2 linked regions of the Schizosaccharomyces pombe genome follow. The protein of the gene in region 2 purifies or fractionates together with the protein of the main gene of each other region. This does not show direct contact. Each region holds a gene or a part of one and is shown on either strand. Other genes may lie near its edges.

What was found. Proteins that work in one complex are often made in the same cells at the same time.
Region 1: the proteins of hsp9 (region 2) and rad25 purify together in Schizosaccharomyces pombe (affinity purification with western blotting, with the first as the bait; one study listed by BioGRID). This does not show direct contact.

The regions. Positions count from the first base shown.
Region 1 is NC_003424.3:3,581,896-3,588,158, reverse strand, and holds rad25 (14-3-3 protein Rad25), read left to right. Parts: upstream 1-3,317; 5' UTR 3,318-3,379; coding exon 3,380-3,446; intron 3,447-4,163; coding exon 4,164-4,909; 3' UTR 4,910-5,031; downstream 5,032-6,263. Other genes in the region: vacuolar CorA family magnesium ion transmembrane transporter Mnr2, read right to left, coding at 1-1,724; rrp1 (ATP-dependent DNA helicase), read right to left, coding at 5,243-6,263. UniProt on the Schizosaccharomyces pombe protein: Acts in cell cycle and stress checkpoint signaling by sequestering signal transducers regulated by the checkpoints. Required for the DNA damage checkpoint that ensures that DNA damage is repaired before mitosis is attempted.
Region 2 is NC_003424.3:5,318,259-5,323,409, reverse strand, and holds hsp9 (plasma membrane heat shock protein Hsp9), read left to right. Parts: upstream 1-2,733; 5' UTR 2,734-2,804; coding exon 2,805-3,011; 3' UTR 3,012-3,453; downstream 3,454-5,151. Other genes in the region: ski7 (ski complex-interacting GTPase), read right to left, coding at 1-98, 159-632, 688-883; zip3 (ZIP zinc transporter 1), read right to left, coding at 4,110-5,151.

The sequences.
Region 1 (6,263 bases), 1.7 Mb from region 2:
AAACCGGTAACCAAGTTCAACGGAATTAGAATTGTACCCAAGATAGTCAAACGTGATAAGACTTCATTTGTTTCATTCGAAACAAGTGTCATATTAATAGAAATCTGAGCCAAATAATTTGAATGACTTCGAGATAAAATTTTTTCGTAATGGTTCAAATTTTGAACCATAGTGACTATGTGATCCTGCACATCACCAAGATATAAAGCAATTTCACCTCTAGGAGCTACTTGCCATGACTCGTTGCATCGTTTGGAAAGACCTCTAACAACATCTGCCTTATTGGCAAGCAAACGTAGCAAACTCATGATCAGCTTGCGGCATTCACCAACGCGCTGCAACATTCTCTCTTGAGGCTTCACTTCCATTACGTGATCATAATGGATACTCAAAATCATGGAATCAATTGTGTCGACTTCATCTTCAATTTGCTCAATGAATGGAGCGAAAGCATCTGTAGTATCGTCCAGCAATGCATATGCGATCCAATCTGCATTCACTGTCAGATAACCATTCAGTTGACGAATCCTTCGACGAACATTAGCTGGATGCGGTGTCGGGTTCATATGAAAAGTAATTATACCGTCACGAAAGACGACTAGATAAAAATTCAACGGCTTTAGGTACTCAGAGTTTGAGGGTAATTGGTTGAATGAACGGAAGGTAACAAAGTAATACGTTCTAAAAAGCTCGACTTTTTCACGATCCTCTTCGAGAGTAATATCTTCAACGGTTAAAGGATGGATTCCAAAAGCCTTTGCCAGAACTCGAATTTCTTCTTCCTTTGGACAAGAGACATCTAGCCACCAAGTTCCTCCAGAATGGAAAAGGTCCTCAAAGCTTTGGCCATCGTGAACGAGTTCCCACATTTCATGTGAATGGATAGTAGAAGGAAGCTCATCGGTAAAGAATGTAAATCGATATGGTTTTTCAATTTCTGACTTACGAAATTGAGCCCAACGATCACGAACACGATAACGGCCATTTACAAGTAACGGTTCACTCAACTTCCTATTTCTTTCACGACGCTTATCAACATCTTCTACCGAATATTCTTCAAAATTGGCAACCATCTTTTTGGTCCATTCATCAAGGACAGAAAACTTTGGTTCTTGAGCATTGTTTGGAGATATGGGTAAATACAACTCATCCCGAGATAACTTTCGAGTAGCCGGATGATCATCAACAGCACTCTCAGTCACGTCGTTGTTTGCAAACTGTTCATAGTGACTATCATGAGAATTAGCTGATTTAGGGTAGACATGGGGGGATGAAATAGCAAAGTCACTGACCTCAGCAAGTGGACTAGGTTGATCTCTTGTATTCTTCCCATTTTCCGTCTCAAATTCTTTCCTTTGAATGTCCTCTGGATGGCTTTCCGGCAGTGATATATTTTCGATGTCTTCATCGCTTTCATAGTGACGGTGTGGACTTTTCGGGGAAGAACAAACAGAACTAGGCATTGAAGGAGGGTTATTAATATCCTTGTCATCTTCCCCATTACTTGAATGCTCAGACGGTGGTTCTAATAGATCACTATCACTGTTTCCCAATAATCTTGTTCCCTCATCCGCTTCGTCTGGTTGCAAACTAGGGTCCACTGGAAATCGATGTTTAGATTTACTCGAGTGTTTACGATCAGAAAATCTAGGCCTGTTCTGCATCCTAGCATTTTGTTTGTAATAAAAGCCCGTAGGCACTGACCGGGATGTATTGGATGGCATAATTCAAACAGGATTATGGATGCTAAGAATTGACAGGTTGTATAGCAATGAATGTATTATTCTTGGTTTATCAAAATAGTTATAATGCCAAAGAGATCGAATAGCGTTTGGTTTAACAAACTAACGGTTTGTGGATTATTTATATAATTACTCTATTGGTGAGAAAGAGAGGATTTCTGCCCACATTTGATTGAGAGGTTTGAATTTATTAAAAATATTTAAAGAATAATTTCACAAAACTCAAACAACAGAGGAAATGCCAATTTTTAGAGATGTGTTGTTGAGGTGTGGCAGCTAAGACGCTTATCATTGATATGGAAGGCAATTTTTTAAAGACCCCCAAATCATATACCAGACAAAATACAGTATCTTTAAGCATAGTTTTGTTTAATTTCATCAATATTTTTGAAGTGTATTTGTAAGAATCCAATGCAGCATAATTAAATTCATTTCCGGCCTACACATATTGAACCAGGTTCAAATTGGTGCAAATTAATTATTTTCTTGTAAGGATGAATAGAATTGGTTAGTAAATTCTGCTGAAGTTGCACATAAGAGGACGGTTTTGTTTACTAGACAAAATAAGTACCGCGACTTATAAAAAATCTTATCCCAACCAGATTGTCCCTTGTAACAATTTAAAATCCTACTTTTCGTATTACCGCGCAATCAAGTTGCCCACAACGGGACTGCAGCATTGCAGTAGAAACCCCATCAAACGTGTAAGTGAAATGAGCGAACAATAACCCTGAAATTATAAAGTCGTATTATCTTGTTTAAATCAACTCATACCTTTTTCATATAAGAATATCGTATTGTTTCAGGATAACAGAAACAATTTCAGGGAAACTTGAAAGGTTTATGATAAACGCAGTATGCAATTTTAGAACAACGAGAATTAAAAAACTTTACATTTAAGCCAAGAAGTATTAAGTTTAAAATACACAAGTTGAAGGAGCAATTAATCAGCACAATGTAATTTGATCTTTTTTGTTCGTAAAATTACCGTTTGCGGTAATCACCAATCTGTGATGACAACGCCGAAAAGCAGCTTACATAATAACACACACTTTTCAGCTCACTGTACTCCTTTGTAGTCAATGTAATATAATGGAATTTCGCCGCCTCCTACGGATATTCAAGCATATCGCATATGCCATCGAAAACTAAAGAAAAACGCCTTCTTCTTGAAGCTTCCTGCATAGAGTGATAAAAAACCTTCTAAAACTTCTTTGCCCCTAAAGTAAGCCTCTTGTTTCTGTCAAGCTTCCTCAATTATTGCACTCATTGTTTTAACTGTAATCTTTCACGCTTATGTTTGATACTTGGTATCTTGTTTTCGAAAGAAAAACTTATTGTAACATACTTTAAGACAGCAATTCCTCATTCAGTGAGTAAAAACGCGTTTTCTACCGAATTCCTATTGACACTGGGCATTTGTTTGGCATTTGTTTTTGGAAGCCTAATCATACGTGTAAGAAGTATTTTTACGATATTGTAAAAGAATAAGAGAGGTGTAGTGATGTTTCTGTTAGATATCCATAAATCTCAGTATAGTCCGTCATATATTCGGCTGACCAACCAACCTTCCCAACTTTCCTTTCTCACTTCTACCAACCTCAACTAACCACCGCTTTTAATAATTCCTTGCAAATATGAGTAATTCTCGTGAAAACTCGGTGTATCTCGCCAAGTTGGCCGAACAGGCTGAACGCTACGAAGGTATGTGATAAGGATCCGCTGTTGGAAGTAGATATAGCGTAATAGTACGAAATTGTCAATGAAGGGACCTTGATGAAAAGTTATTATATTGCAGTTTGCTACTGTATGTGGGAGTTCTTTGGTTTTTTAATATTGTTGGTCTTGAACAGGTTGCGTTGTTGAATGTTGCAAGGTTGTTTGTTTGATGCGGCTGAGAAAAAGAGGGGTTATGGGTTAGTACGTGGATGACTTGTGTATTTTAAAATGTCCCCAAAATCGCTTGATGAGGTTTAAAATGAGTTCTTACAACATTGTTTTGTTGTTGGACATGTTTATGATATCTGAGGTTATGGACAAGAACGGCTTGCAATTCTCTTGATTTTATGGTTTTCGTAATCATTATTTTTTGTCGCCTTTGTTCTATTTCCTACCTTGCTTCCTTTTTTCTCTTAAAACCACGATTGAACTGCCTTGATTGTCTTATCATTCTTATCTCCTCTTATGATTTGAGGTTTCTTTGTAACCACCAAGACAAAGAAATTCACTAACATCAGGAGTAACACGAAACACCGTTCTGTAGGTAAACCTCAACGCAATTAAGGATATTATTACCTTCATATCTTCACCATGCAATGATAACTCGTTTTGAATTACTGTTTGTTGACCCGTCTATACTTGGCTTTGCTTCTTTCATCTCTCCTTTTTGTTTTTGCTTCTTTGCTAACTGATAATGTATAGAAATGGTCGAAAATATGAAGAAAGTTGCATGCTCAAACGATAAACTTTCTGTTGAAGAACGTAACTTGCTTTCTGTTGCCTATAAAAACATCATTGGTGCTCGCAGAGCATCATGGCGTATTATTTCCTCTATAGAGCAAAAGGAGGAAAGTAGGGGCAACACTCGACAAGCCGCATTGATTAAAGAGTACCGTAAGAAGATTGAAGATGAGTTATCCGATATTTGTCATGACGTCCTTTCCGTCCTTGAAAAGCATTTGATTCCTGCCGCTACAACCGGTGAATCCAAGGTATTTTACTATAAAATGAAGGGTGATTACTATCGTTATTTGGCCGAATTTACTGTTGGCGAAGTTTGCAAAGAGGCCGCCGACAGCTCTTTAGAAGCTTACAAGGCAGCTTCTGACATTGCTGTTGCTGAGTTGCCTCCCACGGACCCTATGCGCTTGGGTTTGGCTCTCAACTTTTCCGTCTTCTATTATGAAATCCTTGACTCTCCAGAAAGTGCATGCCATTTGGCTAAACAAGTATTTGATGAGGCCATTTCAGAGCTCGATAGTCTTTCTGAAGAATCTTACAAAGACTCTACTTTAATCATGCAGCTTCTTCGCGATAACTTGACTTTATGGACTTCTGACGCCGAATACAACCAGTCTGCTAAGGAGGAGGCTCCTGCTGCCGCTGCTGCTTCTGAAAACGAACATCCCGAGCCCAAAGAGTCTACGACTGACACTGTTAAAGCTTGAAACTAAAGCGTTAGCATTTTATCAGTAAACGGATCCTAATGGTCTGATTACTTTTGCATATATGAACTGATACCTATGATTTATCTAATATTCGTAGCCATATAACAAAGTTATCTTCATTATATTCTTCTTGCACTTTATTTCTATCATTTATAAATTTATAACTTTGATTACGTTTCATGAGTAGTTAGTTTGGCTTTGTGGCCTTAAAACCATCAAAGCATACTATTATTATACATTGTACATGCGTTACACTACACCACCCCTTTTTTTAACGTTTAGTTTAGTATGCAGTAGAGTATAGTTCATTTGAGTAACGTTAACATTAAATAATCATGAATTAAGCCCAAATAGATATAGCAACTCTTCTTTGTCAAGTCTCGACAGAGGATTGTTTTCGTTTGAATCCAAAGCTTCTTTAACCAATTGACGCTTCTTACGTTGAACACTGACGATACGCTCTTCAATCGTATCTTTAGTAATAAACCTATACACGGTGACAGGCTTCTGCTGTCCAAGCCGATGAACACGATCTATTGCTTGATCCTCTATGCTCGGATTATAAAATGGTTCCTGTAGAATAACGTGATTTGCAATCGTCAAATTCAAACCCACGCTGCCGGCTTTCAATGAAACCAGCATGACTAAAACATCTTTATCGTTATTAAAAGAATGTAGGGACTTTTGCCTCTGGTTCGCAGACATAGTACCATCATAACGAACATGTCGTATATTTTCTAATTTTAGCATGTGCGATACGAGGCATAAATACTGGGAGAACTGAGAATAGACCAGAATTTTTTCGTTTCTCTTGGAGCCAATTATATCCAAAATTGTTTGTCTTGCTTGATTCAATTTCGAGGAGCTTTTCCATTCGCTCGCCCGCTTGCCAAATTTTTTGGTAAACATCTGGTCAATACGATTTTCCCACCTTAATTTAATGCTTTCTTGTTCTGAAAAAGATTGATTCATATCTAACTCTAATTGCTTTAAAGAGTTTAAAGGACCATGGATTGCTTGAAGGATAGTTGCATCAACTAATGAATCTTGAACTATATTACCTCTGCACATTGGGCACTTTGCTATGATCGTAGAAGTGCTTGATGATCCATACTTCTGGCCGACTAGCATGCTCATACACTCTTGACATGTAAAGTGCCCGCAAGGGATAATAAAAACGGGAGCCAAACAAGGATCCAAACAAACACTACAGTTGAAATCCTGTAGTGTAGCAATTCTTTCTATGGTCAAGGGATCCAAAGACTTGCAAGCATTTCTGACGTTTTCGGAATCTCTAATTCTAAAGCTGTTATCCAAGCTAGAACTCTTAACAAGCCATGGGTGACAACAAAAT
Region 2 (5,151 bases):
ATTAGTATTTTTTTGAGGTTTCAATTGTTGAGAAACTTTCTTCATTGACTTTACAGAGTTTAGCAATTGCTCGTCCAAACGTTTGTGTTTTTGGAAACCTGTTTAACAATTAGCGCGAAAAAAAAAGGAAAAGATGAATTGAAGGAGACAAAGCATACTTTTAGATTTAGATTGAGCCATCAAAACTATGTCGTCAGGGCTAGGGGCGTTAAATCCTAAAAGTGAACTTTTGCTTAGATGAATCTCAATTTGGTCCTCAAAAACGCGCTTCTTTGCGCCTGTAAGACATTTCGCAAATGAGGAAGGAGGAGCTAATTTTACCTCTTGGGGGTTCTTCTTCAGTTGGTCGCTTTCCACCATTTGTTTTTGGAGTGTGGTTTTATCATCATCGTCAGTAAGATGAATTTCATGAGACGATGGTTGTTCAGAGTCTTTCTTCTCTGCAATGCGAACCTTTCGAAACCTTTGCAACAAAAAATCATTTTCAACGTTTTTCTTATGTTTAGCTTGAATAGGCTCTTTTTCCTTTTCCTTTTCGGTTTTAGGCGGCTGCTGTTGAGTGGATGGAAAAGAAGAATGCAATTTTTTCCGTTCAGCGGCGAGTAATGCGAGCTTGGATGTTTTTTGTTTCTCTATGAATGTTAATTTCTAGTTCTCCACTTTTTGTGACTAATTATAATGGCGTACCTGGAACTACAAAGTTAGTGTCGTTAATTGTGTCACGTTCTTGATGGTCATTTGTGCTGGAGGATGGAAAAAAGTTGGGAGAATCAGAACTTGAAGAGGAGTCTTGTTTTAGGATAGAAGAAAGACCGATGGGATGTTCAGACGGAGGTTTTTGTTTTGCTTTTTTGGAGTTTAACAACTGAGACAACCTAGACATATTTCTAAATGAAAATGATGGATCGAGACAAAAAAATTACTCATTAAATAAGTCTATAATAATATACAAAATGCAAATCAATTGCTCAAAAGCTCATTAGCATGTATGCGTAAAATGTTAAATTGGAAGGTGGATGACGAGAAGTTAGGATGGATTAAGCGAATCAGATATACTGTATATAGTCAGATGGAAAATTGGGTGGTATGATAGACATACTCGAATGAGAAAGGTTTTGGTATGTATACAAGTAAGCAAACAGATTCAAGTTGATGATTAGTGGACTGAAACAAGCGAAAAGAAAAAGGCAAACAAGAAGTATATAAGTGAAGGAGTTGTGGAAAGGAATACCATAACAATGAACGAAAAGAAGTGAAACGGAGAGATAAAATACAAAGATGAATGAAATTTAAAAAAAAAAAAAAATAATAATAATAAAGGAGTAAACGAATTATTCAAGAAAAGAAAATGGAATGAATATTAAAAAGAAAAAACGAGTATGAAGCGAAATCCCTAAAAAAAAACGAGTAAATAAAAGAAAAGGAAGAACGATTGAGTTGAATTTACTTTTTTTTGCTTTGGTGATTGGACTACATTCAAAAGAGTTTTTGTTGAGAATGGGTATAATAGAAGATGGCCAGTTTATTTTATTCTTTCACTTTCTTTCTTTGTTTTAAAAAAAAAAAAATTAATAAAGAGAAACAAAATATTGAAACCATCTCGAAATGCTGTAATGAATAAATAAATTAAATAAAATAAGAAAAAAAATAAAAAAATTTCTATAAAGTTAAAAATAAATAAAATAAAATCAATTTAAAAAAAAAAAAAAAGAAACCAAAAAACGTCGAGCCATTCCTACTTTTGCTCATGTTCTCATCTCACATTTCTCACGTATCATCTTTTCTTCTCTACTTCGGGTTACACACCTTGGGTTACGCTTCCTAAAAGATTATAAATGGTCTTTAGCTACACCTTACTTCTCCTTATTATTGATTTAACAAAACCATCATTGCAGTTCGTCTAACAAAATAATGGTTTACCAACTCTCTATTGCGTAGTTGTGTAATCCGCAGTTTGCAGCATCTCGTAATATTCCCTGCTTATAACGGAATTTCACGATGTATCGCATGCAATACGTGCGGCGTTGAAACAATTGTGTTATTGTGCGCAGTGTGTGTAATACCTGAATGAGATTGCCTCTACTAAGCCATACTCACTTTGAACATGGTTGTGGTTATCTTTTAAATAACGTTTTGCAAAGTGTTATTGTTTTTGCTCTAATTGTTTTTTTTTTCAACAAGTGAAGTTCCCCTATTTAGATCAAAATTTCATCACCCAATAACAACACCATCATGCAAAGAATACTTCGGAATTTTAAAAGACAAAGAAAACTTCTTAAAATTTATTTACAGAAATAAGTTTGTTTCCTAAGGGATACTCACTCTAAAGACAAGATGCACTTCCCCTTCTTCCTCTCTTTCTCTCTCTCTCTCTCTTTGAACTAGTACCACCACTTCGCTTCTCTCCACTTTGAACCTCTAACCTAGCGAGGGTTTTACCGTACTCGCTATCTCGCTTTGCAAATCCACAAAGCTTCTGTATTACATCATAAGAAAGTAGAGTGGGCGCTCATTGGAAATAGCTTACGTAGCTCAGAAAACGAATGGTGCGAAGAAAAGGGGCTTTGCTAGAAGCTGCTCATTATTTGTCTGATTGGATAGCGAGCTATCTGATAGAAAACTACGTAATTCCTTGGATCGCAGTTTTCTCCAGTTTCTAATGCTAACTGACGCAAATGTGATGTAATGGGCTGCGATCATAATGACATGAGCAATTGGACAAGAAGCTATAAATACGAGTCCAAGTTCAACAGTTTAATCATTCAATTCAATTCCAATCAATTTAATTGTCTTAAATATTCAAAATGTCTGATCCCGCAAGAAAGTCTTTTACTGAACAAGGCAAGGAGAAAATGACTCCTGACTCCTCCAAGTCTACCCTCGACAAGGCCAAGGAATCCATTACTGGTGCCTACGACAAGGTCGCCTCTGCTTTTACCTCTGACGAGGACAAGAGCACCTCTCAAGAGGCTCATGACAAGGCTCAACGCTTTGTTGATGACAAGTTGTAAAGAGGTTCTTATGACTTAAAATTCATGCTTTTGGCTGGTGAAACTCAATCCACCAAAGCATCGGGATGATTTCTTTACCGATGAACGGACGAAAATGGTTTGAGGTCTCCTCAATTTAGTAGGTAGTGGTTGGATTGTTTTTATGAACGATCCATCTCATCACTTTCTAATGCGAGGTTGCATCCTTGACCAATTACCATCTAATTTTATGATATATAACGAGGTTACGTGATACCATCATATATATATATTTGCTCGACTTTTTTTACAAATTTTTTTCAAAAAGTGGGTGCTTATATATTCTTTGGTTCAAAATCTTTATCGATTTGAAGTAATGAAATATATTTTCCCTTATACCCTATATACTTTTTACTACCATATCTAGCAACTGTATTGTTTACATATAAGTAACGAGTAACTTAAAAACAGTACTGTAAAACAGTTAGTAGTTGTGACTTGGGTAACAAGTGTTTTCATCCACTGTTTGACATAGGAATGTTACAATGATGAAAACTCAAAACATTAGGATGGTGATAGAAACAACGGTAAAAAAGTTAGGATGTTTTGTTTATTGCCCTTGAATTCTTACTCGTTTCCTTTACCCTTATAATAATAATATTCCATATAGTTTTAGTCTTGTCAGGTTTGGTCAAAACGTGTTTTCGCTTATGAAAAGCAAAAACATTGAATGTTATTTTAAATTGGCATTATTTGTTTACTCTCAATGCCGATTGTTTACAATCTTTTCTGTCAGCTAGAATAGAAACAGGTTATGGAAAAGAAATAAAAATACTCTTAAACGATTTAAAGCGCGTAAATTTTGAAATAAGAGGGATCAAAAATTACAAGTTTGAACACGAAAGCGCCTTATGTGAATGTGAACAACTTAATTCTACCATAATAATTAACAAGTTAATAAAAGAACTAAAATAATGTTTCTACACATCTTCATAAATGTGTAATTTTTTAATATTAAATGTAAAGACAAAGCACAATGCCAGAAAAAATGAAGGACAAAAAATATTAGTCCCGATTTATATTTCTAGAATAGTACAATATCAACTCCATACCACGCCCTAATGTAAGTTATCTGTCACTTTAAACATAATATAAAAAAGAAAAACCTCCAACAATAAACATCATGTACAATGCCGTGTAAATCATATTTCCCAGCTTTCCTTTTGATAAGTTGATTTCCAAAAGCTCGGGAAATACGCCTAGGTAAGCTATATAAAGGAAACCACCAGCCGTGAAAGGAAGGAGTTTATCCTCAAGTTGTAGAAGGAAAGAACCATATGGTGAAGATGAAGATGAAGCAGTGTATATATATGTAGCGACAATTGCTCCCAATAATCCCGTCACCATAGTGATCATTTGCAACACGAGTACTTGCGATTTCGTATACCCATTTCTCAGAAGTATAGCCAAGTCACCAATTTCTGCTGGAATTTCGTGTAATAGAACAGCAAATGTGGTGGATATGCCAATGGAGGTATTGGTAAAGAAGGCGGAAGTGATCGCCAAACCGTCCATAAAATTATGAAATGAATCACATAACAAATTTAAATATACCACAGTTTTGTCGTTATACTCTTCACTAACTTCTTCAACTACATGTCTAATCAAATCAGGCTCGTGACCTTTAGAGTTCTGATCATCTTTGACATTTCGTTTCCGCAATCCTTCCACTCCTTTAACGTCAGTTTGAGTTGAAGAAGCAGAAGGTTTGTTTACACTTGAAGTCTCTTCACCGTCTTTCTTTGGCTTAGAGAGCGAAGACGGACGCTCATGTATTAAAATGCGGATTCCCTTATCCATTAGAAAGAATACTAGGGCTCCAATAAGGATTGAATAAACAGAAGATGCTGGAAAATCTCCTCCATTTGTCGAATACACAGTAGGAAGTAATTGTAGAAAAACATCGCCTAATAAACTACCTGCAGAAACTGCCACGAACAGATTTAACATACTCGTGTCGAACGACTTGGGAACAAGAAGAATAAAAATGTTAGGTGGTATTGCTGTTAAGAAAGTCGCGAGAATTCCATTCGTTCCCGAGGAGTAAGAGAACTGCTTCTCTACAAAGCTTTTAACTGAATTCAACCAAACGCAAGAATTGTTGTCTTTCTCTATAGTAAAA